2 linked regions of the Notamacropus eugenii genome follow. The protein of the gene in region 2 purifies or fractionates together with the protein of the main gene of each other region. This does not show direct contact. Links are inferred from orthologs where the notes say so. Each region holds a gene or a part of one and is shown on either strand. Other genes may lie near its edges.

Region 1 (15,841 bases), on a different chromosome or scaffold from region 2:
GGCCCAGGTGTCGGGGGCCGGAAGTCCCTTTTAAGGGGTAAGGCGGGGGGATCCTGCAGGTCCGGAAGTGCTCCTTGTGGCTTCTTTCCTTTACCGGAAGTTCCTCTTATCATTGGGTTCCCCCCCTTTTACCCACAAACCACAAAACTTGAGTGGACCTAGAGACCCCTACTGCCCCACCTGGTTCAGAACTGTCATCTCCCCATCTCTCCTCTCCCCCCTCCCGCCCAATACCATGGGGAGTTCGGGCTGGGTGAAAGATTAGATTACTTGGCCGGGGTGGGATACATTTGGGGTTTGTGGGGTGGGCGTGGGGCGCTCGAACAGAACTCCGTTCTCTTTTTGGCTGCAGGACCCCGTCCTCCCCAACCTGCGGCTGCTGCTGCCACCATGCGTCCTGAGGCCTTTCCGTTCCCTGTGCTAATGGTCACCGTGCTATGGGGGATCACCCCCACTTGGGGGCTCATCCGAGCCGTGAGTCTGGGGACCTGGGCCCAGGGTGAGCTGAGCTTAGGACAACAGGTTCCCTACGCAAAGTGGATCCCCAACCTTTTCTTACTCCGTGGGTGTTAGGAATAATACTAGATTGGGAACCAAAGGACCTGAACTCTCCAGCAGTTACTACCATTGTGTTAATTACTTCCCACCTTTGGGCCTCAAGTTTTTTCATTTGCTAAATGAGAGGTTTGGACTAATTCCCCTTCCAGTTCTAAATTATATATATCCAATATTAGAATTGGTGAAGGGAGAGGAAGGGAGGGAGCAGGGTTTCAGCGGGGACAAAGGGAAGCAGTAAGTCTTATGTTCCCAGACTTCGGACCACAATAGCAGCATGGACTTTGAAGATCTTCCAGCCCTATTTGGGGCTTCCCTGAGCCAAGAAGGGCTCCTGGTAAGTTGCTTATCCTCTGGAAGTTTGGATCAAGGGGGTAAGAAGGGCTAGGTGAACAGTAAGCTTAGTGATATAATGGGAAAAGGACTGCAACTCTACTGAAAAGTTCTAGTTTAGAAACCTGAATTTGTTACTTTGCACCTGTGACATTGGGCAAATCACTTCTGTGACTCAGTATTCTCATCTGTAAAGTGAAAGGGTTAGACTAGGTCAGGGGTTCTTAACTTGGGGTTCATGAATTTTTTTCTCATATTTTGATGACTTTACCATTGAATCTTTTTGTAATTTTATGCATTTCATTTTATTCATTTTAAAAACATTGTTCTGAGAAGGCTTCACCAGACTTTCAAAAGATCCGAGACACAAAATTAAGCCCTAAAATACGTGATCAACAAGGTGCTTTTCCATATTTTATAGTTAGAACTATATAGCAGCATATCAGAACTTTATGGCGGAATATATTTAATTGGTGCTAGATTGGAGAGATTGATGGTTTGTATGTGGGAGAGGGAAGAGAGTTTATAACTGAAGATTACTTCCTATGAGAGTGAATAGTATTTCAAGGTAAATATCCTGAGCAAAAGCTTATCTTGAAGAAAGCTTGGAGTCAGATGGTTGTGAAGCGTGGAGAGCAGGGTACACTAGAGGCTAAAGTGGGAGAAGAAAGTAGTTGTTAGGGGAGAGGGTTCTCAACTGTGGAGGAATCTTACTGGAGAGTTTGGGATCATTATTCTAAAGAAACTTTGGTTTAGAATTGGATGTTTCTAATTAACTTGTGTCTCTTGCTGCCTGGAGGAGATAAAGGGTAGGGATTTTTGGATCCATGGAGGCAGGAAGAGCACCTAATCTTATTCCCTCCCCCCAGGGGTTCCTAGTTGAGGCTCATCCTGCCAATGCCTGTAGTCCTATCAATCCTCCACCTCTTGCTCCTGCCAATGGTTCTGCCTTTATTGCCCTGCTTCGGAGATTTGACTGCAACTTTGATCTCAAGGTGGGGAATGGGAATGGGGATTGTGGAAGGAATTTAGAGTGATTGGGTGGTTGTTACCGTGACTCCCCTTCATCCTCTCAGGTTCTAAATGCCCAAAAGGCTGGGTACAGAGCAGCTATAGTCTACAATGTGAATTCCAATGAACTTTTGAACATGGTGTGGAATAGTGGTAAGAGTTGGGTACCTGAGCACCCAAGTCCTTGGGGTGGGGGGAGGTGAGAGGAGGTGGGGATGCCTGAGTCCCTGGTATGACAGTCCCATTCCTGCAGAGGAAATTCAGCAGCAGATCTGGATCCCATCAGTGTTTGTGGGAGAGACAAGCTCAGAGTACCTGCGCTCCCTCTATGTCTACGACAAGGGGTATGATTTGTCTTCCCTGTCCTCAATCCTGATTCATATCTGGTGTGTTCCTAATCTCCTTTTCCCACCCGATCTTTTCATTCACTATTTTCCTCTCCACCTTGTGTCTCTCCTTCCCCCCCCCCCATAATTATTCTTTTATCTCAGTCTGGCATACCATGTGAGTCACAAAACTTTGCTAGGAAGGGCACAGGACTCATGAGTTTGCTTAAGCTCTATGGCTGTAGCATGTCTGTCTGAGCCTGTTTCCTCATTTGTAAAATAGAAGTAGGCAACTTGTATTGCCTATGCCACGGGTTTGTTGTGAGGAAGTTTTGTAAACCATAAAGTGTTAGAGAAATATGAGCTTTTGTGCTTGAGTTTTTATTTCCCTTCCTTTTCCCATGCCTCCAGTCCTTGAATGCCCCTTATTGCTGGGCTCTCTGACCCCTCCCTCCCTTTGTCCCTTCCTAGGGCCCGAGTCTTGCTGGTCCCAGACAACACCTTCCCTCTAGGCTATTACCTCATTCCCTTCACTGGGGTTGTGGGCCTGCTGGTTCTGGCCATGGGGGCTGTGCTGGTGAGTTAACTTTGGGCAAGGTCTGTTTTTCCAGGGGTTTGGGAAAGAGGCATAGTTTGGGAAATCACACCAACTCCATGAGGGGAGAGGAAGACTGGATCGAACTGGTCCAGCTTTTTTAATGTTCCCAGGTTGGGTTCCTCTCCTTTGTTCTGCCAGGTAGCGTCTCTCCTCTCCCCCGCCAGGTAGTTCGATGCATACAGCACCGGAAGCGGCTCCAAAGGAACCGACTGAGCAAAGAGCAGCTGAAACAGATTCCCACCCATAACTATCAGAAGGGTGAGGCAGGGTTCCGGGATGACCTTCCATACAGGCAGGAGGCAGGGGTGGGCAGGTCCAAACACTATCAAGTTCTGGGTCTCAGTGTCAGGAAATAAGAGATGAAAGGCAAGAAAGGCTCCATAGATCAGAGTAAGGGTGAAAGAGAGAAGGGGAAAAAGCAAGAAAAACGCAAATCCTCAGGCCTAGTGTCCATATAAGGCTAGAGCTGAGGCCTGGCCCTTCCTTCCCCATTTCTGCTCATCTTCCCTCCTCCAAACCACTTCCCCTCACCTCTACCCCTTGCAGGCTTGATCCCTTCGTTCCCATCACTTCTTGCTCTCCTATCATATTCGTTTGTTTTCTGCATTGGGTTGTACCATTGACTTTGGACAAATCTTTTTCTCTTTCCTGGCCTCTAGTTTCCATATTTGTTTTTTAAAAAAGTGATTAGGATTGGAAGGTAGAGAGACCAGGTAGATTGAGTTGGATTAAGTTGAATTAAGCAACACATTGCAGGGACTTTTTACTCTTGAATTTGTATAGCTGGATTTAGTTACAGAAAACACTTAAAACAGAGATCCTTAACCTGGCGTTTTAAAGGATATTTTGATAACTTTTTCAACACAATTGGTTTCATATGTACTTTTATGCAAACGCACAAAACATTCTAAGAATGGAAGGAGACTCATAACACAAAAGAGCTTAATAACCCTTAAACTAGAATCAGGTTTGTGATAGGCTGAGTAGGGGCCTTCATCTCATTCTTCTAACTAGGTGATGAATACGATGTCTGTGCCATCTGCCTGGAAGAATATGAGGATGGGGACAAGCTGAGGATACTACCCTGTGCTCATGGTGAGGAATCCTCTGCTCCCAAGGGTGCCATTCCCCTATTTCCCCTTCTTATATGACCCATTTCTGTCTTGGTCTTTTCCTAGCCTATCATAGCCACTGTGTGGACCCCTGGCTCACCCAAACCCGGAAGACTTGCCCAATATGCAAGCAGCCAGTTCACCAAGAACCTGGGGAAGAAGAGCAGGAAGCAGAGGAAGATGGGGACAGTGGGAACCCAGTCTCTGAGCGGACCCCCCTCCTAGGCCCCTCTACCACCCTCCCACCCTCCTTTGGTGCCCTCTCTCCTACCCTTCCTGAAGAACCTTCTGCCTCCCCATCCTCCTCGGCTCTCCTAGTCTGACCTGAATTCACACCTTCCTGAGGATTTCCTGGGCTAGGGCCAGGTCCTTCCCCTTCTACATCTGAAGATTTTCACTATTGGGTTAATAAAATTGCTTTGTTTCTGGACCAGGGGTGGGGTCTTTCTTGGGACCCCTTCCCCCACAAAAATCTCGTCTAGTTGTTTTTCTTGAGTGGAGGGGAGAATGGCAGGCAGGCAGAAATGACAAGTAGCCTTCCATGGCTATTGATCACTAGGAGGCTCCAGTCTTCTACAAGGGGGAAGAGGCACCCAACCCTTTGGAGAAGTTTTCAAACAGCTAAGACTTGGAACCTCCCAGGACTGCAGAGGCACATTCCTGAACAGTTTTGTTTTTCCCTGGAGCCTACAAATGGCAGTGCCAGCTCTTGGAATTCTCCCTGTCTTGGCAGATCCCAGTCCTCATCACACACATCTTTATTAGTAGAATCTTTTATTCATATTCCAATATAAGTTTCCAGAAAAAAAACCAACAAAATTTTTTTCAAAAAAAAAAAAAAAAGTCTTCCCAACTACACACAGGAAGGAGGTTCAAAAGGAAAGGGGGGGGCACCTGTCCATCCAACCTGGACCCCCCCAGGTGTAGTTTTGGCAGCAACAAGTGGGTGGGGGGAATGGCCCAAAAAAACAATGGTGAGGGAAATGGTGCAGAAGCCTGGGGAAGAAGGGGGGGGGCAAGGAGGGTCAGTATTGAGAGCGTCGAAGGTGAGAAGCCATTTCATAACACTTCTTGTTGATCATTCCCCCGTGGATACCTTCCTTCCCCATCAGCAGGACTAGCGCTAAGAACAGAAGAAAAGGAAGATTTGAGTACTCCCACCACCTGGAACCAAGTATTCCCAAGCAATGTCCCTTGTAACATCTCACACTATGCTAGGTGGGAAAATAGGAGATGAAAAAGCTAAGGAAGTGAAATACTCTCATCAGAAAAAGAAATCTCAGTCAGTATTTATCTAACAATATACTTTAAACACACCACCTGCATTAAACATTTTGCCTTCAAGATTAAGGACTAAAGGAGTCACAACTTACTCTTGGCAGTCATGGTAACAGTGAGGTTGAAGGTGGGAGCACCCCCAGTGCTCTTTGTACGAAGGTCCATGGTGTACTCTCCATCTATTAGCAGCGAATCCCTGATCACCGAACATTTCTGGCCCCCAAGTGTCAGCCCATTTACGAAGAAAGTTGAACGGTCTTTGCCAACCAATACAGCTACTTCAGCTGGCTATAGCATGGAAGAAGGAAGGCACGTATGGAAGTGAAGTTAAAAACCTAAGAACTGTGGCTTTCTCCCATTCCTCCCCCTGCCCATTTGTGTGGGTAATTCTTTCAAGTAAGTTTGGGTCTGAATTTAAACGGATTTTAAACGTATTATTTCTTAAGAACTTATTTCAATGACCCCTCTTCACCATTCTCCCCCAAAGAGTTAAAAGATTAGGAGAGTCAGCTCAAAATTCACTATAAAATTGTTCAGACGAAAAGCAGGAGAGCCAAGAGTCAGTGAAAGATGAGGGTATATCAAAGCACATGGCTTTTTCCCCTCAGGAAAGCAGAAGCAGAGGAGGAGGGGCCGGGGATGGAACAAAGCTGCTATGCCCTTATTTGGGCAAAGACTCAGCCAAGCTCAGAGTGGGGGCCCTGGATTCCTGGGTCTGAGAACATTAGTTGGTGGTTTGGGGCCCAGATGACAACTAGGGTGGGAGCCCAACGAATCCCGCAACTCTACTGCAATCAGAAAACTTTTTTTTGGTAGTGGTGGTGCCAATCCCATGGAGGTGGTAGACCTCTCACATCAAAAAGAACTTCAAGCACCCTCTCTCCCCTATACATCCCCCACACCCCACCAACCCCACATCCGGCCACTGAGCTCCCGGAAATCCCCACTTCAAACTTCCGCTCCCCCTCCCCACTTCCGGGCAAACTAAACTGGGGAGAGAGCCCTCTGACCTTTATGACTCCCTATTCCATCCCCCCACCTCCAGCCAAACTTCCCCAAAACTTCCTTGTCCAACCCCACTCCAGACGTTAAAACCGAACGGGGGAAGTGGAGATGAATTCCTTCACGGAAATTTACCCACGGACCCCAAAGGAGCAGGGCCATGGGGAACTATGGGGGCCGAGGGGAAGCTGGTAAGGTGGTGCTGGGAGTGGCCATGCCCTGGGAGAAGAGGGCCGGGCCGGGAGCAGCCCTGAGGCACCAAGAAGCTCCAGGAGCCCGGGCTTCCTTCTCTTCCTCCCCCCCGGGGGGCGAACAATGGTGGAACGAGTGGGGGCACGTAAGCATGCAACCGGAAGTGGAGGGGCGCCCCGCCATCCCCTTAAAAAAAGGTTAAGGGGGAAATCTCCCATCCACCCCGCCCCGCCCTGAGGGAGGCGGAAGTGTCCGATGAACCGGGCGGCTGGCGCCCCTCCCCGCCCTGTGCCCCGGATGTAACGCCCTCCCTCAGAACCGTGGTGGTGCTGGAACGACCATGGAGCGGGAGTCCCAGGAATTTGGGGAAAAAACGGTCAAGGGGGGAGGGCGGGCTTGCAATGCAACCTGAGAATCCATGTAAAGGCCTCGGCGCAGAAAGTCAAAGGAAAATGTGGTGATGGGTGAAAGCCAGGCCTTGGAGAAGAGGGAAGATGGGAAACCACTTCTCTGCCCCTCGTCCCGTTAGCCCAGCGCCAGCGTCTCCCGCGCGGCACCCAGGCGTCCCCACAACTACCCAGATTCACTCACACCCTCTCAGCGCCCAGCCTGGCCGACATTTCTCGGCCAAACCGACCCTCCGGCCCCCCATCGGTCCGGCTGTTCCGCTCCTCACCCTCAGCTGCCCCATCCCCCCACCAGCCCTGAAATTAAAAACACAAAAAACAAACAAAAAACCCGGCCGAACCTCCAAATGCACCACGAAACGAACGTTTTCCCCCCCAACAGCCTCCAGGCCCCAGCTCGCTCCCTTTCCGTATACCGTGATATTGGCGAAGGTTTTCCCGGGGACGGCGGCCCAGACCGAGGGCGAGTCCTTATAGCCGACTATGGCCGCGTCCTGACAGGTCCCGTCCGCCATGAGGTTGTCGATGTAGGCGTTCCAACCGGCCATAGCGCTGGCGGTCTGGCTCTGCTGCTACTGCGGGCAGGGGGTGGCGGAGAGCTCGGAACACGCGCTGCCGTCCAGACTCGCAGCTCCGTTCTCTCTGCTGCCTTTAGCTCTGCTTCCTGCTCGTCCCGCTGCTCCTCCTCCCCCCTCCCCCCTCCTTTTTTTTTTTTTTTGCAAACGACAGTGGAGGCGGGGCCGCCTCTTCTTCCCCCTCCCCCTCGCGAGCAAAAACTTCGCAAATAACAATTTTTAAAATTCCCCCCCTCCTTCCCCCCTTCTCAGTAGCCAAATTTGCTGAGTGCAATGAAAGGGCCTCTGGGCGGGAGCGGGCGTCGGGTTAGGGTTAGGCGGTTAGTGGCATTTTAGGGGACAAATCAAACTCCGGTAGGGGACGAGGACGGTGAAAACGGGGACTAGGCAAGCCCCAAATGATGCAAATCGAGGGAAGGCCTGGCACGAACCGGGTTAAATTTTTAACACTTTTTCTGCCCCAGCCCCCATCGCATGCGCTCGAAGGCCCGGGAAGAGCCGGAACTTAGGGAGGGCTGGGCGAGGCGGGCAGGGATGGAAGCAAAAGTCTCCTCCCCAGCGGGCAGTAAAGGGGTGGGGCTCGTGGAAGTGGAAATTGGGGGTCGCCGCTGCGCCTGCGCGGGCTTACGCAGGCTCGGGTTTTTTTTTTTAACCGGGGAGGGAAGGAAACGTGTCTCGTCCCGGGTTCCCCGCTCCCTTCTCCCGCCAGTGCAGTCTTTTATTTTCTCTCAAGGCGGAGGGAAAGTGGAGGGAGAGGAAGGCTTACTAGGCTCCTCCACTGCCCCTTTGGGAACATGTGCACTTCCCCACCGCGAGCAGGCTGCACCCGCTCTCCCGTCTCTATATCCCTCCGCTTTCGGCGGGACGAGAGCCCCACCCAGAGCTCCCCTTCCCTTCCCCTGCCGCCGGCTTGGAGGCTGAGCGGGCCGGCCGAGACCGGAGGAAGCCCCAGGCGGGGAGGGACGAGCCGCGAGGGCGTGGGGGAAGATGGGGGACGGGACGAGAGGCTAGAGCACGCTGGAGGAGCGAGGACCGGGGAAGCTTTTTTTTCTCTCCAAACTTTTTGCCGGGACACGAAGCGGTTTGCCAGCTTCCGGGCGCGCTGGGCACGAGGCGGGGCAGGGCGGGGCCCAGGCGATCCGGATTGCTGGGGCTGACGGAGCGAGCCCCCCCTTCCCCATATTCCCCCGCCCCAGCTAGGGGCTTGGCCGCTTCCGGTCGGCTTGCTCCCACTGAATTTCCAGAATCCCACCGGGTCTCTGCAGTCCGGTGGGACCCAGGTGTCCGTGCCCGTGTCCGACGCCGCCCGGACTCCTGCCCAGGGCGGTGCCGGATTCTAGGGCTCGTGGCAGGCCGTCGTCTCCACGGATGGCCTGACCTCTGCCCCCCACCCCGGTCCGCACTCCCCGAAGGGCGGGGCAGCCCCTGATTCTGGAAGATAAGCGTGGGGGAGGGAGGGGCACGGATGAGATAAAGTGAGGTCTGCTTTGGGCATAGATGGCCATGGGACTGTGGGCAGAGAATCCCGAGACCTGAGTGAGTCAGACAGACTGATTGGAGGCGCACGCCCGGGCTGGGAGGGTGGTGAGTCACGGAGTGAGGCTCCCAGGCGCCTGGGGAGAAGGAGCTCTCGTCTGGGATTAGACACTAGGACTCCCAGCCGGGAACGTTTGCTTTTCTGCAAACGCACTTCGCTCCTCCGGAGACAGGGAGGGAGCACGGAGGAAAACCCAGGGGCAAAGTCTCGTTAAGAGAAACCAGAGGAGGCTGAGCCTCAAGATTTAAGGCCTGAGAAATACACAGAAACACTCCCAGAGGTGCGAAGGTAGAATGAGGGACTCGGGCACGGCAGGCAGGACTTGGGAGACGGGAGGATACAAACGATGCACGTAGAAGCAAACGCCCAGCGAAGGGAGGAGAGGCAGAAACTAACTCGGAGACCACGAGACAGTTACAAAGTTTCGTGCAGAAGCAGGCATCAGGACAGACTGACGTAGGGAGGCAGAAACGAACAGATTGGGAAACAAACATGGGGAGACGACTCAAGAATACAAACAGCCTTGGAAATGGGCAAAGGGGAGCGGATAAGATACTTAGACATAAAAATACTCAGATACCCAAAAATAAACTGACAAGAATAGATGTGTGTATGACCATAACTTTAGAGGCAGACGGGAATTAGAAACTGAGGTCTACCAGACTTGCCCAGGGTCACACACACACAAAATGGCAGAATGAGGACTCAATCGGGTCCTTGGACACAAATTCAGAACTACTGAATGTACCAGGATAGAAAGAAACTCGAGACAGATTCAGTGAACCGCAACAAAACAAGCAGATTTCAAATTATGCAGTCTTGATTTTGGAAAAAACTTAAAAGGTCATGTAAGCCCGACTTCCCAATGTAGGAATCTAGGGGCATCACTGACAGGTGTTCAGTAAGACTGTATTTGAACTAAACATTGAGTGAAAGAAAAAGACATTGGGGGAACTTCAGATGGACACAGATACTAAGGGACAGAGAGATGAGGAGACAGAGGGTCAGATTCAGGCAGAGAAAGACGTTCAGAAACAGGCTCAACTACAAAAAAAAAGAGAAAAGGAAAAAAGTAGAGCAAAAAGAGACTAATCTTAGAGGGACACAGATAAACCCAGAGACAAGATTCCAACGGAGATACAAGGAGACAGAATAGACACAGAGAAAGAGACAGGAAGACTGAGGCCCACAAAGGTCTGTGTTTAAGTTTGCACACTGTGTAGGAGGTACAGGGCTCCTCTCCTTGGAGGGAGGAGGGAGCAGCAGCTTTAAGAAACCTGAGAGTGGTGGTAGAAACTTTGAGCCAAACCCTGATCCCTCCCAATTTCTCCTTAAGACCCAAAGCCTCACTGCTGACAGTGCCTCCTTACCAGGAGGTATGAGGATGGGTGTAGTCTCCCCTCCCCCAAGACCCTCTTGCAGTCTATGCATGAAGGGGCAGAGGCTCAGGTTACCCGTCCGCCCTTTCCTAAAGGTCCCTCTTTAACCTTTGCTGCTGGAAATTGAATCCAGGCAATGGGTAAGGGAAAGACTTAATAGCTGCGCCCCCCCCCTCCCCAGCTGAGCCCCCTTTGTGGGTGGTGAAATTAAGGGGGGGTGTATGACTTTTTTGGGGAGGGCACAGCCTTAGGAGGGGGGAGGAGTGTCTTAGGGACCATGAATTTGCCTTTGGTGGGCAACTGTTGATAGTCAGTGAGCTGGGGAGGGGTAGGCAGGGGAGGGGCTGGGCAGAGGGGCGGGGTCAGTAATAAATGCCAGGCTTAGGAGTGATAGCCCGACACTATCCCAGCAGCAGTCCATACCCCCAGACCTTGTCCAAGGAACTCCAGCTGTGGTGAGACCTCTCAGGCCTGATTCTAGAGGGGTAGGGCAGGGGCACGGATGATTCTTTCCTCCACCCGCTACACTAAGTTGTAATTCTCAGCCACAGGTTGGGGAGAGACTGGAGAATGAGAAGGTTGGAGGGGATGGAGAGGTAGCTGAATGGGGGAGAGGATGGGGTAGAGCCTAAAGGAAGACACAAGGATTTGGGGAGAAAGGGACAAAGAGGAAAGGGAGATGGTACGGTAAGGTAGAGGCACAGCCAGGATTTGCGAATGATGGGGAGGAATGTGGGGAGTAGGGTAAGTGGTGGGGTAAGGGAGCAATAGGATGGAGAGGGGCAAAACAAGACTGGGGGAGAGGAAGAATATGGAGATGTGGTATAGGGAACAGATTAAAACAGGGATGGTACTGGGGGACTGGAGGTAGGAATGCTGTAGGGTGGCAAGGTAATCAGAGTGAAATGAAGGGAAAGAGGAGAGTCTGAGAAGGTTGGGGGGAAATAAAAGCAATTGGGGGCATTAAAAGGGAAAAAAAAAGATTTTCTAGCATAAGATGGGGGGATGGGAGGAGTTCTGAGTAGGGAAAGGGAGTTGGGCCTCTCTGGTCTGACCTTTCTCTGGGCTATTTTTAGTACCAGCACCTGCCTTCCTGGCTTGAGGAAAGACTTTAAAGGGCATGGGAGGTTTTGGGGGTGTCTTTTTCGGTTCTTTAAAAGCTTCCCCACTGACAAAGTCCGCAGCCATGGCAATGCAGAAGATTTTTGCAAGAGAAATCCTAGATTCTAGGGGGAACCCCACAGTGGAGGTGGATCTCCACACAGCCAAAGGTGAGGAGGGAGCCTGCATGTCTTCAGATGTATCTCCAAACACACCTCTTCCTCACTTCTCCCCTCCTCTACAGCTCTTCTTGGATTCCATAATCCATACATCCATGTTACCCCTTCCTCATATATTCCAGGCCGAACTAATTTGAGTCCCCTAATCATCCAAACCCTGGTTCCTCCCAGACTACTTCTCAGCTAACCACTTCTCCAGGCCCCAGGACTCAAAAACAAAGTCTCTTTATCCCTTGGTTTCTGTTTTGGGACCCTAGGAACCTGGGGTTTCTCCCACTTGGGCTGTGAGAGGGGAGTAGTCTCAATTCATTTCTACCCCTTACTCTTCAGGCCGATTCAGAGCTGCTGTACCCAGTGGAGCCTCCACTGGGATTTATGAAGCTCTGGAGCTGAGAGATGGAGACAAAAGCAGATACCTGGGGAAAGGTGAGATATCACTTTAAAGAGAATGTATTTGTTTGGGGAGAAGTGGGAGGGTGGGCAGAGTATTGGATCGCATAGATGGAGAGTGTTGGTGAACCTGGGATCTCTTTAGTATAGGAAGTCAGAACTTATTGATCCCTAACCTCTGCTCTCTTCCCTAGGGGTGCTGAAGGCTGTGGAACACATCAATAAGACTTTGGCTCCTGCTTTACTGGAAAAGGTAATAGTCAAGGGAATGGCCAGAAATTCCTCAAATCTGTCCCCTCTACTCCTGGTACTTTTCCCCTTTCCCCCCCTCTTCTCCCCATAGCCATTAATTTTATGACCTGAGCCTCTTAGGTCCTTGCCTAAGTCTCTGTAAGATGATCCTACCACAGTCAGTCTCTTGTATGTCTTTTTTTTTTTTGTCTTCACTCATCTAGAAATTGAGTGTTGTGGATCAAGAAAAAGTCGATAAATTCATGATTGAACTTGATGGGACAGAGAATAAATGTGAGTGAGGGGATTTCAAGGGAGAGAGGACCAGAGAATAACCCCATTCCCAATGGGAGAGGGGGCTGGAAGGGAGAAGTTTCTCACTCTATGTGAAGAAGTCTCTCATATCATTGGTTTCTCTACAGCCAAGTTTGGGGCCAATGCCATCCTGGGTGTGTCTCTGGCTGTGTGTAAGGCAGGAGCAGCAGAGAAGGGGGTCCCCCTCTACAGACACATTGCGGACCTCGCTGGGAATCCAGACCTTGTGCTGCCAGTACCGGTTAGCTTTTCTTAACCCTGGGACTCGATCACATTCCTTTGAACTTGGCCTTAAGACAGAGGATGCCCCCCTTTTTCAAGAATAAAAACTCTTTAGGAAGTCTAGATGCTAATTCACTGCCCAGAGAGATCACTTCCTAAAGTATAGCCTCCTTGTGTGTTTGTAGCTCAGAATCCTATCCTCTCTTTTCTAAGATAAGTGCCTGAAAATGTCTTTCCTTAACTCTCATCCTACTCTCTACAATGCTTTATGTAGTCTGGACCACTTACATCTCAATAGCAGTCTAACTTCAAATCAACAAGCATTTATTAAATTCCTATCATGTACAAGGCACTGTACCAAGCACTGAAGATACAAAAATGAAATAGGGCACAATCCTGTCATCAATGATTTTACAGGATAATAGGGAGGAAGCCATGTAAACTACAAATAGGAATAATATAAGGTAGAATGTCAGGCAGGAAAATTGTTCCTTCCAGCAAAGAGTAGTAGCTGTGTTATCAGGTATATATCCATTCTTGGAGGAAGTAGTACCTGAGCTTAGTAAAGGTATTTCCTTCCAAGGAAGAGAATTTCCTTCCAGCTCTAAATTTATAATCTTTATTTCAACAGGTAAAAATGTGGAAAGAATGTATGAAAAAGTGGGGGTAGGGAGAAAACAGGTGACCAAGATATTGGACTGCAATACAGACTGAACAAAGCAGTTGGAGTGAAATATCATGTGCCCAAAACTATGAGAAATGTTATTTCACAGACTGTTTGGTCATCACATTTTGTAGTACTAATGTAAGATAAGACTAGAAATATGTTGAAGCTGGATGGTAAACAGCCTTAAATGAAACGTACAGAGTTTATACTCTATAAAATAGGATAGTGGGCCACTGAAGACTTCTGAGGAGACTTTTGCCTCACGATTTTAGAAGTTGTGTGAAGGAAGCACCAAGAAAACTGCAGATTATTGAATTTGGAGTTGAAAAAGGAATGGTGGGGTGGATGAAGGGAGAGGAGAGACGGGGCTGAGAGGCGAGTGAAAGTCTGAGAAAAAGGGAATAAACAAAGGGGAGTGGCATGAGAGGGATGGACTTAGGAGCTGTGGTAGAAGTAGAATCAACTAGAATCAGTCTTATTTTTCCCCATTTGTGCAAAGGGACTGTCTGCCATTTTAAGAGTAGAGGTAATATCTTAAAGAGTTTTCTCCTGAATCACTGAACTCAATTCCTCCCTTGGAAGTCTTTTGAATCTAATGTCCAGCCTTCCCTCTATAGCTCAAGTCTATCCTCATGCTACAGTCCTAGTCTTATCTCACTCCTTCTCTGTGGTCAAAATCTGAATCTCCCTCCACTTAATTTCACCCAGGCCTTCAATGTAATCAATGGGGGATCCCATGCTGGAAACAAGTTGGCCATGCAGGAATTCATGATCCTGCCCGTGGGGGCTGCATCGTTCAGAGAGGCAATGCGTATAGGGGCTGAAGTCTACCACCATCTAAAGGGTGTCATCAAGTCTAAGTATGGAAAGGATGCCACAAATGTAGGCGATGAGGGTGGGTTTGCCCCCAACATCTTGGAGAACAATGAAGGTCAGTCAGTGGGATGAAAAGGAGGGGTCCATAAAGGGAATAAGGGCTAGAGGGGAAAATGGGGTATTACTCCTTTAATTTCTCCTTTACCCCCAGCCTTGGAGTTGCTGAAAACAGCCATCCAGGCAGCTGGTTACCCAGACAAGGTGGTGATTGGCATGGACGTTGCTGCCTCTGAGTTCTACAAAAATGGGAAATATGATCTTGACTTCAAATCCCCTGATGATCCTGCCCGGCACATCTCTGGGGAGAAACTAGGGGAGCTATATAAGAGCTTCATCAAGAATTACCCTGGTGAGAGATGCAAGGACCCCATCCTCCCTTCCCCCTTATAGAACTCCCTAATTTATTCTACTGTATTTTCTTTGATCTTAGTGATCTCTCTTCCTGCTACACTTAATAATAATAGCTCCTATATGTTTAGTGAAATAAGGCTTACAAAGAGCTTTTTTTCCAACACTCATTTTCAAATGAGGAAACACTGTCAGAAATTATTAAATTGAGAGTTAAAGGGGAGACGTGGGAGGGTGGGCAGAGTTTAACATCTAGTTAGTTTAACATCTCTTTTTTACCGAAAAGGAAACAAGCTTAGAAAGGTCAAATGATTTGCCCAGGGTTACTCCCATATTGAGAAGCAGAGCTAGTGTTCCCAGCGTAGGTCCTGCCCCTTGTTTGAACATACACAGGGTTAGAGCTGTGACTGAAATTAAGGGTCCCTGACAGCAGGTCCACTGTTTTTCCCACTCCATCATAGCACCTCTCTCTATTCTCATTCTAACCCACTCCCGATGATCTCCTTCATTCCTCACACAGTGGTTTCCATTGAGGACCCCTTTGACCAAGATGACTGGGCCACCTGGACTAAATTTCTTTCTGGAGTTGACATCCAAATTGTGGGTGATGACCTCACTGTCACTAACCCCAAGCGTATTGCCCAGGCTGTAGAAAAGCGAGCCTGTAACTGCCTCTTGCTAAAAGTCAACCAGATTGGTTCTGTCACTGAATCCATCCAGGCGTGAGTCCCCAGTGGGTGAGATGGAGGGAGGTGGGAATCACTCCATGCTCTAGAAATTCACCCATGAATTAGTTATTCTCCTACATACATATCCCTGGTCTAATCTTCCTCTATCCAGAAGCCTCACCAAGAAAATTCAAGGTAAAAAAATTTTCACTTCCTCCTCTTCCCCAAAAGGTCAGCAATCATTCACCATTACTCTTTCACCCCTATCAAGAATTCAGATACATGTTTTATGTACACATGATCCTTTCCCCCAACCAAGTTTTTTGAACACATTGTAAGTACTTTAAAAATGGTTGTAGCATGCATGGATGAATGAATTGGGTTCAAACCAAAGGGATCATGCGATCACAGACCTAAGAGCTGGAAGAGATCTCAAGCTATCTAGTCCAGTTCCCCCTTTATAGAGATGAGAAAATTCATCTGTAAGGAGGTTGAGACTTGCCCAGGGTCTTCTGGATAGGAGGTGTTAGAACCCAAGT
Region 2 (15,270 bases):
GGGGTGTGGGTATGGAGGGCTGAAATTCCTGGACGTGGGCTGAGATGTGACCAACCGACCTCAGGCAGCGAGGGGTCAGCTGGGAGGCATGGCACTTCCGAGTCTTCGAGGCAAAAAAGGAGAGAAAGGAAGCTATGAGCTTCCCCTTAGGGTGCACCTCCCGCCCCCACCAAGATTGCCCTGTGTTCGGGACCCCTCCCTTCCTAGATTCAGTCACGCTCTTCTCCAAGAATCTAATAATTCCTAAGAATCCATGCTTCTGCCCCCTCTCCCCTATCTTACCCCGAACCACCTTCAGCTAAACCTTAAACGTCCTCCTCAATTGTGCCCTTCCGGCATACCTTCCCCATCCAGTCTGGGCTCTGGTCCGCCCTCCTCCTCGCCCTCTTCCTCCTCTTCTGAAGGGCTGCTGGCCGAGTCCTCCGAAGCCGCCAGCCCCGACTCCCAGGCCAGCTGGTCCAGGCGGAGCTGCAGTTCGGCCTGAGGAGGGCCTTCCTGGGCAGCCCGTCGTCCAGGCTCCGGAGACTGGCTCAGGCTGGGGATGCTCTCCAAGCTGTCTCCCAGACCCGATGGACCGGGTTCACGGGGTTCAGAGCGGCCAGAAGGGCGAGGCCGGCGATGGACGGAGTCGCGACGGTTGCCCCCAGCTTCGAAGGCGATGTAGGAGAAGGTCAGCTCTCGGGGGGTCCCCCAGTCCTGCGACGTCGTCTCCTCCTCTTCCTCCTCAGAGAACTCACGAGCAGTGTGTAGCTCCCGGAAATCCGAATCGTCATTGCCACCTGGAAGGACGCTGTTCCCTTAGCGCCAGTCACCCACCATCTCTAAACTCCAGATTCCTCTCAGAAGATCCCCCCATGCTCACAGGATTTTAGATAAGGAATGGAATTTACAAATCACCTAATCCCACTTCTTCATTTTTACAGGTGAGGCAACTGAGACTCTGTTTCCTTCCCCAAGTTCAAAACAGGTTACTACCAGAGTTGGGATTTCTTCTTAGTAGCTCCTGCTTTGTCTTCTCCGCACTGTTACTAAATGGCTGACTTTATTTTCCCCACACACCCCAGCAGTACCTTCTCAGCGGTTCCTTCTCATTTCTCCTTAGAAAGTATGAGCTTACCATGAGTCACCGACTTTTCCTCGCAGCTTTTTGCACTCCCCACTTCATTTAGCACCCCAGAAATGCCCTTGCCATAAAGGAAATGAAGGTCGACTCTACTTACCATCTGTGGAGTCAGGAGTGGAGGAGGCAGTGGATGGTGCTTCTTCTAAGAAAGAAATAGAGTCTTAGACACAGCCTGGAAATCTTAAACACTTAGAATCACAAAATTCAGTCCTGGACGATTGGAATTTTGGAATTTTAGAGTCTTAGAATTGTAAAGTTGTAGAAATTTAGACTTCGGGAATTTTAAACTTTGAGAACCTTAGAATCACAGCATCTTAGCCTTTAAGAATCCTTGTGCAGAAGTGAGACTAGAAAGCAGAATGTCAGAATAGTTAAGGACTTTAGATACCGTCTGATCCTCTCCAATTTTATAGACGGGAGACGGAATCCTACATAGGAAGGTTTGCCCAAGGTTGCACTCTTAAGGAAAGACTGATCCCGGACCAGAATCCAGTTCGTTGGATGTCTCTGTACTGGCAAAGGGGATAGAGGTGGGAAGCATCTGACACTTCCTTCTCTATACTAGAAAAATTAATTCCAAATCTATCAGGAAAGACGAGGGGAGGCGGTGTTGATGTGTGTGTGTGTGTGTGTGTGTGTGTGTGTGTGTGTGTGTGTGTGTGTATGTGTGTGTATGCTTGCACTTGTCTAAAGCTGGAAAGGTGTGGGCGGAGGAGACTGCCCCTTAGAGACGGTGGCCCGGGATTAGTCCCAGGGAGTCCTGGGAAAGGGAGAAGGGGGAGGGATGGGGCGGGGAATGGCAGTCTTCCCCTCCCCCATTTATCCTAGGCCTTTCCCTAGGATCAGCACCACGGCTCGGGGACAGCTCCGGGTCTCGCCAGGTCTCCCTCGGTCCCTTTCCGTTCTACTGGCTGGGCCTGGCTCTCAATAGCCCGTTCTGTTTAAAAATGGAAGGCGCTTAGAGATCATCGAGTCTAATCCTTTCATTTGACAAAGGGGGGAAACTGAGGCCCATGGAGAGCTACATTAGTTGGCTGTGGGATGGGGATTCTTTCTTTGTCCTTACCCCATCAACCCCGGGAATCCCCTCCCTTCTAGAATTGGCACCCCTACCCCAGGGACTGGGGGGACTCACTGCAGTGGGCGAAGACTGGCAGCACCTGGCCCATGGCCCCGCCCGGGCCCGCTCCGGCCGCGCCGCCCAGGGCCCGGGGCCCCTCGTGCTCATCGCCCCGGCACCGCCCCAGCCGCCGCCATCCGCAGACCGTCGCCGCCTCCCTCCCTCCCTCTCCTCGGGGTCTGGGCGGGCGGGGCCCCGAGCTGGGACCGAGGGGAGCGAAGAGAAGGGGGTGGGGGGACTGCAGCACGAGCCCCGGGCCGGAGGCGGGGCTTGGGCTGGGGGGCGTGAGCAAGCGCGCCTGCGCGAGTTTACAGACGGGCGAGGGGACTGGGGAAAATAAGGAGCCTGCGCGAGTCTGGAAGGGGTGGGGGAAGGGGCGGGCCCTGAGGGGGTGGAGCATAAGCCGGGGAGGGAGGGGGGGCCTGCCTAGGGGCGTGCACTGGAGGAGCCTGAAGCCAAACTAGGGAGAAAATGGGAAAAAAATACTAGGAAACCGTGCTAGGGCTGGACTAGGTGGGAGGAGGAGAGGCTCAGGGAGGGGAGGGGATCCTGACAGAAGGGCGGAGGACACAACTGGAGAGAAGTTTTGCCAGCTCCTAAGCCTTCTGAAACTCACCATTCTGGGTGTGGGAGGGGCTCGGGGATCTCGAGAGGCGTGGCATCGAGCACCAGCTTGGGAAGCCTGGGAAGACTGAATGTGGTGTGAACCAGAGTGAGCCGCCAGGGGGAGCTTACACACTTTCATTCATTGGTTAAACTTTTATTCGGGGCCTAATAGGATGCCCAGGGAATTGCACTAGGCGCTAGGGAAAATATCACGTTCAAATAAGATCCAGGTCCCTGCCTTAACGGAGCTTACTGTTTACTAGGGAGATAACTTTAATCTTCAACACCGCCTGATAAACGCAGGAGAAAAGGACAAAGTTCTAGGTGAGGTCCAGCGGGAGGTCTCTGATCATGTTGTGAGGGAGTCAATATGCTAAAAAGCCCTGAATTGGGAGTCACATGACCCACCTTCAAATCCTGCCCCTGTACATCTTATACAAATCATTTCACCTCCTTAAGTCTCAGTTCCTCCATTTGTAAAATGAGAGAGTGAGCTAAATGGCTTCTGAGGTCCCTTCTGCCTCTAGATCTTTGACTCCAGGAGAAAGGTTGATTCTGAGTCAGAATCTTATTCAGCTAGAATAATAGACTCTTTAAGTCAGAGACTCTTAGAACTGTACTTTCTTAAGTCAAAATAGAATTTTAAGCCTTTATGTTTACCTGAGACTTACCATGACTCCCCTCAGATAATACTTCCTCTAAAAGGCTTCCATGATCTCAGTTCTCCCCAGCTGAAAGTATTCCGATTCCTTGTATCATCTTCCTATTTTGTCGTTTTCTTTCCATTGATCTCACAACACGCCCTACCTTCTGATTCTTACTTCTATCACATATTAGAATGTAAGTAAACTCTTTGAGGGTAGGAAGTGAATCATTTCATTTTTTTTTAAATCATAGTATCATAGATTTAGAGCTGGAAGGAACTTTAGAAGTCACCCAGTCTAACCCATCATCCAAATGAAACCAAGACAAAGAGAGATCAAGTAGTTGCCCCAAGATCACAAGGCTAGTAGGGTTTGGAGGTGAGATTTACACTCCAGTCTGCCTCTGATGGCCCATCATGGCATGTAGGTTCCTCTGGGTTTTTGAAGGCACTTGGTCTCTAGAATTCTCTACCAAGCTGGAAAGGTTGAATAGTGTTGTGTGTAGATCATAGATTGAAGTTCTGTTGTCCGAGTCAATTAATGTAGCCCCTATTTCCTGCCTTTGTCAAGCCTAGCTCAATTTAGAGAGGTTCATTAGCAGCTTGACCACAAAGTGATGAGGATGACTCTACTGAAGTTATATAGAGGGGTTTATGAGCTGTGTGCCTAGAGCTAGGACTCACAGTGCTAAAATTACCTCCCTTGAAATGTTTGAATCCATGAAGTTGTAATTCCCTCAGAGCCCCTTGGTCTGGAACATAGTGGGCACTTAGTGTTTGTTTAATTGAACAGAATCTTAGACTTTAGGACCTTAGATTGATAGATTCATAAGATCTCAGAGGCATAGAATTTTAGGACAGTAGAAAGTTGGCCAAGAAATTTTTATTGACCACTTCCTATGTGCAAAGCCTAAATGAGGAAGTGTTCACATTTGGACACTTCAGAGGTTCCTTCTACCTCCAGTCTTCCCTTTCCCACCCTCCCCCAGAGCCCCTTGGCCTGGAACAACGTGATCCTGGAAGGGAAGAGAAAGCCCTAAGTTTCTTCATAACCAAGGTCAGCAGCCCTGAAGCAGAATCTTGCTGTTAACCACCTTAGACTGTGAACTCCTTGAGAAAAGTCTCTTTTCCCTTTCTGTCTTCCCAGCACTTAGGTACTTAATAAATGTTTATAAGGGAGTGACTCTTCCCTAGGCTCCCTGACTGCTGAGGACTGGAGCAGAGGAAAACTTACTTAGCTACCCACCTCCCCCCACCATGAGACTGACCAGTCTTGTGGAAATAAATATGATTAAGGATAAGGAGGGGACTTCCCCTTTTTCAAGTTCCCCTGAAGTTAGAACATTTGAAAGGAGGAGAAATGTGAACCCTTTAAAAAGGTACAGGGGAGGGAATCCTAGGACTCAGAATCAGGTGAAGAATTTTGGTTTTCTTAGAGTCCAGAGAGGGGAAAAGATTTACTAAAGGTCATGCAGCAAGTTAGGGTCATAGCTAGGATTAGAATCTTGACTTCTCTATCTTAGAGAGGCAGCTAGATATTAGAGTAGATAGATCACTGGATCTGAAGTCAGAAAGATGAGATCAAATCTATCTAACTAGCTACATGACTCTGGGCCAGCCACTTAATCCTTAACTTCAGTTTGCCTCAGTTTCCTCAACTGTAAAATGAAGATAATAACAGCCTCCACCTCACAGGGTTCTTGTGAGGATCAAATGAGACATCTGCAAAGCACTTAGTACAGTGCTAGGCATGATAAATGTTTAAATCCCTGCCTACCCACCCCCCTTCCCCTTAGAGAGAAGACAGCATTCAATATTCCCCAAATGCCCACTCAGCACTCTACAGAATGATCAGCTAGCAGAAACTTGTGGACCAAAGGAAACAGATCTCTGGCATGAAGAGGTATTCAGTAAATGTCTCCTAAAGTCCAGGGACTGTGCTAAGTTCTGGGGTCATCATAAGGAAACTGCATTCTGGTCAGAGAGTTTCCTACCCGGTAAAAAGTGGAAAAGGGAATGAAGAGGCCTGCTGCCTGAGGACCAGAGTAGGTCAGTTTGGAGAGATTCATGACCACCTCAGCCACAAGGTCAGGAAAACAGTCCTCACTATGGAGAGGATTGTGAGCTGTGTACCTGGAGCAAGGACTTGCAGGGGTGAAACCATATCCCTTGAGGTATTGAAGCACAGGAGATGTATATATCCTTAGGGTCCAATATAGGATCTTGAACATAGTGGGCACTCTAAGTTCCTGGGAAAAGGGGGAGCTGGAAGAGGTTCTATGGAAGAAGGGTTTGGGGAGGTCAGTAGCTTCATCCCTGAGGTCATTCATTACTTTGGGAAAGTTTTCCTTTCTTGAGCTTTGAGGGTGTCCACTGCTCACTCTCATGATCTCCTGGCTAAGAACTCGGGACAGACCTGGAAGGGCTCTTAAAATATGGACTATGGAATGATGGGGGAGGTCACCAGCTTAAAGCACTGACTCAGTGCCTGGCACACAGTAGGTGCTGAATAAATGCTCGTGACCTGACTGATTTTGCTCACGAAGAGATGATCCTGAGGTCCAGAGAGGGGCAGGGAACTGCTTGAAGTCATCTAGTGCATCGGCGATAGAACCCAAACCTTCCGCCTGACAATTCGAGACTTTTCTCCCAGAGTCCTCTGCACTCAGTCTTTATAAAGATGGGGAACTCCGAACCCCCAGGGAACTCCCAGCAGGCCAGAGCAGGAGGGAATGAACGCAAACTCACTACTTCTTTTTCGTCTTCTAACTGGCAGTTTGTGTATTTAACAAGGGTAGAGGGGGAAACCGAGGCACACTGGATGGGGGGAAGGGCTGAAGATGGAACCCCGGCGTCCCGCCCTTCTTCGCCCTCGCTTGTCTCTCAGTCTGTCTCTTAGTCATCCCGGTCCACACCTACTTCCTCCTCCTCACCTTCCCCAGAGGAGTGGGGGCGGGGCTGGCTCAGGTCAGGTGAAGGGAAGGGAGGGAGGGGGATGGGGGAGTGGATCTATCTACAGTTGATTGATCTCTGGACCCCCCCGGGCACCCATACCCAAAAAAAGTGTGGGGAAGGGAGATTGACCGGTGTGGATGGGGAGCCACCAAGGAGAAGTGCAAGGGGCAGCGGGCCGGGCTACCGGACGGCCGGAACCTTTAAGGCGCGAGGCATTGTGGGCGCCCCGACTGTGCGGAGCGGAATGGGCTGGGGGGGGAAAAAGGGGGGTAGTTGAGGAAGCAGGTTGGAATCTTGGAATGAAATGTAACCACAGGAGAAAAAGCGTAACGTTCTAGCAGCGGGCAGCTGCAGCAGCGGCTGCGTTGGCCAGGCGGGCGCATCTGACCGGGAGGGGCAGCACAAGGCAGGGGGCGGGGGCAGGGGGAGGGCCCGAGCACCCCCAACTAAGAAGGGGGCGGGACCCAGACCGAGTCCCCGCCCCCCCATTGCCCCCTCCCCCTCCCCCTCGAGGAGGAAGCTACAGCCCTCCACGGGGCGGGTCCGGCCCCAGATCTGACCAGAGCTCCGGGCCCCCCTGCCCTGCCCCTTCCCCGGAGCCTCCGGGTGTACCCCGGAGCCCGGGAGCCCAGTGCGGCCCAGACCGCCCCTCGAGAGCCCCGCCATGAGGTGAGAGATACTAGGGCGGGGTCTGGAAGCCGGGAGACTTTGGTGGGGAGGGTGCTTTGGGCCTGGGGACGCTGCCGGGATCCAGGGAGGCCGCCTCCTCAGCGTAACCCTGTGGCTGGTTACAGGGAGGGAGAGAGAAGGTTGGGGGAACCCAGGGCTCTGGGAAAGGAAGGGAAGGGGAGGCGAGGGGCGGACCTCTTTTCCCCTTCGCTACAAGAAGTATTTTTGGGGATCCCCCTTAACCAGCCCTCCACAACTTTTGAAAGGACTCCCCCTGAACCCTACCGTTCTGGAGACTAGGCGGGGGAGGGGAGAGGGGTGTGGTGTCCAGGGACTCCTTGGGAAAAGGAAGGATGATGACCAGACCGTTGCCCCTTCCCGTGCCAGGCTTTCTTCTGTGAGGTTCCGATTGTTTCTTCCACTGTCCTGTTTCCAGGAGTTCCGAGATCCGTTAACCACACAGTGGTTTTTGCTTTGGTCTGGTTTGGCTTTTTGAGAGGCAGCAAGTTTTGTCTTGGGCCCCTTCAAAACGAAGCTGACACCTTATACACCCCCCCCCCCAAACCTGGGCGGTGAATGATGCTCTCTTGCCTCCCCTCCGATTCTAGAGTCGACCCGGGTCAGTCTCTAACTATACTCCCCCCACCCCAAATGTGGGGTTTCCAAAACCTCGCCCCGCCTGTAAGCCTGTGAAGAGAATGAGATGCACTGGGGGAAAGGAAGGATGAGAGGTCCAACCACCCCTTTGACCTTTGGAAACCAAACCCCTTCACGCTCTATAGTCCTCAGTTTGCCGACGAGTCCTTATTTATGTACTGGAAAGTCTCTCTGCCCTGCCTCCAGGGACGCTGAGCCCTAACTTTTCTGGGGTTTGATCCTTGAGTCCTCACATCAGGGCTGTTGAAGCTCTTAATTCTTAGCCGTCCCTCCTGCTTAGAGAAGGCTTAGATAGACCCTTAGAGCTGGGGTGAAGCATTACCTGTCTCCACCCCCGACTCTCCCCACACACACAACTGAGTTTCCCGGAGGGAAGAGGTCTCTTGTTTACATTCCCCTTCCGCTATATCTTGAGGGGAGGGGGTGTTAGGGAAGTTATCCAGAGGGGTAATCAGCCTTTCCCCAGAGTCTCCACCCCTGACCCCTCCCCCAGATTCCCCTGGGAAGGAAACCAACTGCTGGAGAGATGGAGGAGGGGCAGAGGCGGCTTTTGTCTCCTGGGACTCACCTGTCCAAGAGGGAGGGATTCTTAACCCATGTTCCTTGTTGGGGGGGTGGGGTGAACGGGGAAGGGAGAGGGCACCTGGTTGGGGGGAGGGGAGAGCTGCACACCCACAGGGGATCTAGATGCTAGGGGTTTTCATAGATGTGTTATGTATGAGAGGGAAAATAAAGTGACAGGCCCCTCGCAAAAGAAACCTCTCGACTTATAACTTGCTTATGAGAGGACCACCCTCCTGGAGTACCGAGAAGACAGATACCTGAGCTAGGGAGAGAGATGTTGAGGAACGAGTCCTTTTCCAATCCCCTGGGAGCCGCTGCTACAATGCTATCGCTTTTCCAGCCCTGGGATTTCCGGACAGCCCCCACCCTACCCCCTTCTGCCGAAACTGGGGTTCAAACCCCAGAATTTAGCTCCAAGTGACTTTAACTCCTGCCAGGCCACAGTCCCACCACACCAGCTCTGCTGCAATTTAATTCATTAACCTCCTATTAATTTCCTGAGGCTGTAGGGTTAATCTGGAGACAGGGAAGGGATGGAAAGGGAATTTCCTCCCTCCCATTCCCCCCACTCCCCAGCGGTGGCCGGAAGTCTGTGGGGTAGTGGGACAGTTTGACTATGATACCAATTTCCTTCGGTTTCACCACTTTTCCGGGCTAAGGGGGTTGAAAGGGGGGGTCAGCTGAGGCGTGGGGATATGGGGGGAATCGGCGGCAGGAAAGACTTCGTGGAATGTTCTAAGCGTTCTAGCTGTCACGTTCTATCAACCTGATCTCCCGTTTGTTCTAAAGTCTTATATTCTATGGTTCAGAGGCTCAAATGCGAAACATTTTAAAGGTCCGATCACCTCTCCATCCCTAGCCCCAACTTCTAGATCCCAGGGAGAAGAGGAAGAGATACCCAGGGAAAGTTGGGGGTTAAGACCCTGGGGCAACAGTATGTAAGGGGATTCCGAATGACCCCCCTCCCCGGGAGCCTATGGGTGAGATTAGTGTTTCTAACTGGCCAGCTCCCCCTCTCAGCACCAATAAGACAGAAACATTTCCCCTTCCCCCCTCCGCCTTTTAGAGTTCGGTCCTGGCTCCTTATAAGTCTCCATTCAGCCTTCCTTCCTTCATGGGAGTCAGGGGAGGAGCACGGGACCCCTCCCCTTTCCATTCTCCGCCCTACCTCCTGCCCCAGGTCCCTCCTCCTCCCCCCTTTTCCGGTCCCTGGTACAAGAGGTGGAGAGGATTGAGGAGAAGGCGGACGTCCGAGTCCCCGCCTCCCCGCAGCCCCCCCCACCCCCCACCCCCGCCAACCCTAGCTCCCAGAGACCGTAAAAGGCCAGGGCTAAAGCTGCTCTCCCCCTTTCACCCTGCTTCTCTAGCTTGACTTCTCCCTCCCCTCAATCCAAGGCCTGAAAATTGAAGGTATAGCTCAGGAGCCTTAGAGAGTAACAGCACGCAGACCTATTCCCAACACCACTTTGCAGACGTACAAACTGAGGCCCAGGGACTTGCCCCAAGCTACACAGGAAGCCACAAGCAGAGATAAAGCTTGAAACCAAGCTAATAAAGATTAGAGAGAGGCCACTTGGTGTCAAGGAGTCCAGGACACAGAGAGTCTGTGACATCTGCCACCTCAGAGAGTCGCTGTTTCTTGCTTCCTCACATCTGTAAAGAGGGGAATTGGCCCAAATGACCTCTAAAGTTCCTTACTGCTTTGAAGCCTGTGATGCTGTGATGCACAGAGACCTGTCTTATCCATATTCTCCCTTCCTCCCTACCTAGGGTCTTCCCTAGATTTCCAGGATCCTTTTCACCTCAGTGGGAGAGCCAAGTGGAAAGAACACTTTAGAACTTGGTTTTGATAGGCCTGGGTTGAAATCCCAGCCACAATAGCCCTGTGACCTTGGGCAAGTGGCTTAACCTCTGTGGGTCTCACTTTCCTCATCTGTAAAACAAGGGTAATTAATCCACTAGATTCACTGGGGTCCTGGTGAGGAAAGCACCCAGTAAAACAGGGCCCTGGGGAAATTGTAGCTGCTGTTACCTCAAGAAACTGGGCGTGGCTAAGGGCCTCCAACTTCCTGGGGGTTATTTGAGGGGGCGGGTAACAGGATGGAAAGTCACAGGGTTTGTTTCTCAGTCCAGCTTGAGTGCCTACTGGCTGGCTTCCTCCAGGTCACAGACACTGGAGCCTACAGGGTAGTTACCAGGGAGTGGGGCATTCAGGCATTGGGGAATTTCCTCCTCTTTGATTTTCTATGTCTATGAGCCCCCCAGTCATACTGAATGTTGGATTCTAATTCTTCACCTCTCAGGATGTGGGGCTCATCTAGTTCAAACTTGGTCCTCATATAGGAATCTCCTCTCCAGCGTGATCTGTCCAGGTGATCAGCTACCTTCTCCTTGGACACTTCTACCTCCAAATGGGAAGGACTTCTGTATAATAAGACAAAGTACTAGGAGAGGGATTACAGACCCAGAGCTGGGAGGAATCTCCAAGACCAGCCAATCTAACCCCTTGGTTTTTACTGAGGCACAGAGGGGTTAAATGACCTTACCCTAGGGTCACACTGTAGTCATCAGAACCTAGCCAGGTCTTCTGACTCCAAAGCCAGCAATTGGGCTACTGGGAGGGGTGGGGAAGGGAGGAGAGGGAGAGAGAGAGAGACAGAGAGAGAAAAGGAGGGGAGAGAGATGCAGGGAGGAAAAGAAAGAGGGAGAGAAAGAATAAAGGGAGACAGAGAGGAGAAGAAAGAGGGGGAAGAGAAAGGGAAGAAGGAAGGAGAACAAAGAGCAGGAAAGGGAGAAAGAGAGGGAGGGAGGGAGGAAAATAAAAGGACAGAGGAAGGGATGGAGAGAGAAGGAGAGGGGGAGAAGATCTAGACTTGAGAGCTAGGACCTTTGAGTTCATTTGGTACAACTCTGTCATTTTACAAGTGAAAAATTGGTGGCTGAAGTTGTCTAGTTATCCTCAAATCCTAGGCTCTTTAAAGACCAGCAAGTCTCAGAGAGGTAGTGTTGGACAAAAAGAGTCAAAGGACCTGGGTGCAAATCTGCCACTTATTGCCTGCATGACCCTGGAGAAGTCATCTCATCTCTTTGGGTCAAATGAAGAAGATGGAGTCTTCTAAATTGGATTCTAAACCTACTCCCCTTGTACGAATGGAGAACCTGAGGTCCAGAGAGACAGTGAGTCCTAGAAATCTAGGGTTAGAACCCAAGTCTCTTAACACCTAGCTCTTTTATTCCACAAACATTTATTAAATGTTCTGCATGTATAACACTCCTGTGCCTCGCTGTAGAAGACACACAAAGTTTAGATAATCCCTGCCACTTCCTGCCCTGGTGGAGCTTATAGTCTATTGGGGTAATAGATAACTATACCATACAACATTACATGGTAAACATATTGGAAAAGAAGGGGGGGAGGGAGGGAGGGAGAGAGGAGAGAGAAAGAGAGGAGAGGAGAGGAAAGAGAGGAGGGCTAGGTGAGGCCTGAGGGGGAAGGTCATTACCAACCAGGGGGATGAGGAAAACTGGAGGAAATGCCATCGGATTTGGGACTGAAAGGTTGAGGGAAGGCATTCCTAGCCTGGAGAACAGCCTGCACTGGCAGTTCTAGGAGAGCATAGGGTGTGTTCCTGAGACAGGGTGGATCAATATGGCATTCTATGGAGTGCATAGAGGGAAGTAATCTGAGATGGAACTGGGAGCACAGGGGAGTGCCAGAGGGTGGAGAGCTTCCAATGCCAGTCACTGGAGACTGGACTTGATTCTGCAGACCAAAGATTTTAAGGCACAAGAATGACAGGACCTGATCAATGCTTGAAAAAAGACTAGATGTGCATTCTGAGGGAGGTTCAAGGGGAGGGAGGGGAAGCAAAGAGACCTACCAGGACCCTCTTGCATTAGTTTGGGGGGTTAAGGGGACTAGCCGCAGGAAGAAAGGGAGGGATGAATCAGAAGGATTGCTTGATGTATTGGAGCCAATGGAAAGAGAATGATCCTAGAGTGGGTTCAAGTATCCAATTTCTGCCCCTGACTTTATAGTATGACTTTGGCCTTTTTCTCTGGGCCTCAGTGCCGCATCCTGAAGCAAGGGGGTGAACTGGATCCTTGAGGTACCATCCAGCTCTAAAGATCTGATCTACCATCATACGTACTTTGAGAGGTGCTACAGCTCTAGGGATCTGTTTCCTTCCCTGTAAAATGGGGCTAATGAGATAGATGCTACATGCTTCACCTGGGATGTTGTGAAGCAAGTGCTTTGTAAACCCTAAAATGCTCAAGAGATATACGCTGTCATTATTATTGAACTACAGAATGTCAGAGCTGGGAGAGCCCTTAGCATGGGCTAGGATTAGGAGGGACCTTAGAATATGGAATGTCAGAGGTGAGACTTTAGAACACATGTCAGGTTTGAAAGGGAGCTTAGAACATAATGTCAGAGATGGGAGAGAACTCAGAACATAGAGTGTCAGGGTTGAGAGGAACTTTAGAACACATGTCAGGATTGAAAGGGAACTTGGAACACAGTGTCAGAGATGGGAGAGATCTTAGAATAGGGAATGGGAGGGAGCTCAGAACTGAGCATGTCAGCTGGGAAGGAACTTAAAAACAGCAGGAGTCCTGAGGCTGAAGCTGGAACAGGGTGGGGCTTCCAATGTGTGTACCCCTCCTTGAGGAAAAAGGGGCGAAGGGCAGAGAGCAGGGTGGTGCCTGTGTTGTGCTACGACCTGCCTTTACCCCAGCAGGCAGTGGGCGTGGGCTCCAGGTGTGGGCAGCCTGCCAGGCCCTACCCTCCAATCAGCCCTCTCTGTGCTGGCACTAGCTGACAGTGGGGGTGAGGGCCAACCCCTCAGGCCACACAAAGGCTCCTGACTGGAAGCAGCTGGGCTTTCTGGTGGGGGTGGCTCTTCTTCCCTGGGGCTTCACCTGTCTAAGGAGCACCTGGCATTCAAGTACAGATCTGGGGCCCTGGGGCCGGCTCCTTCTGACATCTGTTTGCAGCCTCTGGGCACCCCACTCTGACTCAGGGACTGGTGGTGGGATCAACTCCTTTTGGAGATGTCCCGTCTCTCCTCTTTTCAGCTTGTAGAGCTGAAGAGGGGACTAAGGCAGCTTCCTGTGAGCACAGAGAGGGTACAAATAGTGGAAAAAGTGGACTTCTCATGGGGGGAGGCTGGTATTTCACCGAATGGCTATTTCATCTTCCTGGGGCTTCCTTTCCCTCTGAGAAGTTCCTTATGACTCTGAATATTATTCCGGCTTATGCCACCTTTCTGTACCACACAGAAAGGTGAGCCTCAGAGTTCTCCCTCACCCCCCACCCCAGATCGTTATCACTCTCCCTCCGGAACTCCTCTTGCCTCCCTACTTCCCCATGTCATGGGGGATAGGGCAGATGAGGGAGTACACTTAGAGACATCAATCCCTTTAAGGCAAAAGAAGATATCTTCCATGATGCTCTGGAATTCTGGGAGTTGTAGTTTCTTTTTGTGACATGCAAACTGAAGGGAGGGTCTTTTGCCAGGATGACTTTGGGGCTGGGAACAAAATCCTCCCCCTAAGTCATCCGGATGCCTGAGTGTCCTCCATTGGGGTCTCTTTGGAGCATGGGGTAGAGGATGTCTTACCAATCAGAACATCCAGACTAGAAGGGATCCCATGTTGTATAATGTGGAGAAAGTGAGCTCTACTCCAGCATCTTTGCCAAGAGAACCCCAAAGGGGGTCAGGGAGAGCCAGACATGATTCAATGACACAGAACAAGGCCCTAAGAAATGAAGTGAGAGCCATGGAGCTCTCTGTTCATCCACTCTCTGGACTCACCTCCTGTGATGGAGGGATTTCAGGAATGCTTAGAGATCTCTAAACCAATGCCTTCATTTTCTGGATATGGAGTCAGATTCAGGAGGGTTCGGCCTCCCTGGCTCTCTTCTCCCAGGTCTGGTTCCCAGCTCAGGGATCCTGTGTGGGCTTCTGTTTGGAGAGAGGACTGGGATTGCTGTACAGTGATTCACCCCTTGCAGGCCACTGAGTCTCTTCTTCTTCCCCTCAGTGAGAACCTGCTCTGCTCCAGCTGGGCCACGGTGATGGTTTATGATGATGTCAACAAAAAGTGGTTACCGGCTGGAACTGGGCCGCAGGCCGTTAGCAGAGTCCAAATCTACCACAATCCTAGCACCAATGCCTTCCGAGTCGTGGGCCGAAAGATGCAACCAGATCAACAGGTGACTTCCTTGGGCCCTGGCCTCCCCATACCCCAATGTCCACTGGGGAGTTGGGCCTTGGAGAAGAATGAGGGCTCCCCTCAGGGAGCAGCTGGGTCTCTCCTTAACTGAATCCCTCCCCCACCAGGTTGTTATTAACTGTGCCATTGTTCGGGGTGTTAAGTACAACCGGGCCACGCCCAATTTCCACCAGTGGAGGGATGCCCGCCAGGTCTGGGGCCTCAACTTTGGCAGCAAAGAAGATGCTGCACAGTTTGCAGCAGGAATGGCTGATGCCCTGGAGGCTTTAGAAGGAGGTAAGGGGAGGGCCTTGGAATTCTGCAACTGTACCGTTCTAGAATGTTAATGACATGTTTGGAAGTTTGCTAGGCCCTGCCAGGTCTAGAAAGGAGCCTCATCTAGAGAGGAAGGGGGAAGACGGGGCTGGCCATTAGATGGGCCTGGGGATGTAGGACACTACATGTGGGCCCACAGAGGGTCACAAGGAGCAGGAGTTTGAGCAAGGTTTCAGAGGCAGGATGAGACGATGGTCTCCTTGCTCCTTGATTACATGCAGCGCCATATTGCCTCTCCAACTTGGTTACTCTGTTGTGGACTCCCCAATCTCTGCACCTATTTTATTCTCTGATGTCTCCTCGCTGGGTATAGGTTGACATTTGAACTTATGCTCAAAGGATTTAGAGTTATTAGGGACATGGGTCAGCAACCATCAT

The links.
Region 1: the proteins of VASP (region 2) and PFN1 purify together in Homo sapiens (affinity purification with western blotting; 3 studies listed by BioGRID and IntAct, with this or other methods). This does not show direct contact. The link is inferred for Notamacropus eugenii from reciprocal best matches to the Homo sapiens genes VASP and PFN1.

The regions. Positions count from the first base shown.
Region 1 is NC_092873.1:79,360,074-79,375,914, forward strand, and holds PFN1 (profilin-1), read right to left. Parts: upstream 8,175-15,841; 5' UTR 7,363-8,174; coding exon 7,231-7,362; intron 5,502-7,230; coding exon 5,309-5,501; intron 5,059-5,308; coding exon 4,961-5,058; 3' UTR 4,693-4,960; downstream 1-4,692. Other genes in the region: E3 ubiquitin-protein ligase RNF167, read left to right, coding at 391-474, 812-892, 1,758-1,883, 1,965-2,052, 2,153-2,243, 2,697-2,802, 2,988-3,081, 3,838-3,918 and 1 more; ENO3 (beta-enolase), read left to right, coding at 11,426-11,576, 11,916-12,011, 12,170-12,228, 12,431-12,500, 12,629-12,762, 14,119-14,341, 14,438-14,635, 15,155-15,356. UniProt on the Homo sapiens protein: Binds to actin and affects the structure of the cytoskeleton. At high concentrations, profilin prevents the polymerization of actin, whereas it enhances it at low concentrations. By binding to PIP2, it inhibits the formation of IP3 and DG.
Region 2 is NW_027325105.1:115,580-130,849, forward strand, and holds the start of VASP (vasodilator-stimulated phosphoprotein), read left to right. Parts: upstream 1-6,975; 5' UTR 6,976-7,111; coding exon 7,112-7,116; intron 7,117-14,385; coding exon 14,386-14,557; intron 14,558-14,684; coding exon 14,685-14,853; intron 14,854-15,270. Other genes in the region: RTN2 (reticulon-2), read right to left, coding at 1-103, 342-779, 1,221-1,265, 2,259-2,292. UniProt on the Homo sapiens protein: Ena/VASP proteins are actin-associated proteins involved in a range of processes dependent on cytoskeleton remodeling and cell polarity such as axon guidance, lamellipodial and filopodial dynamics, platelet activation and cell migration.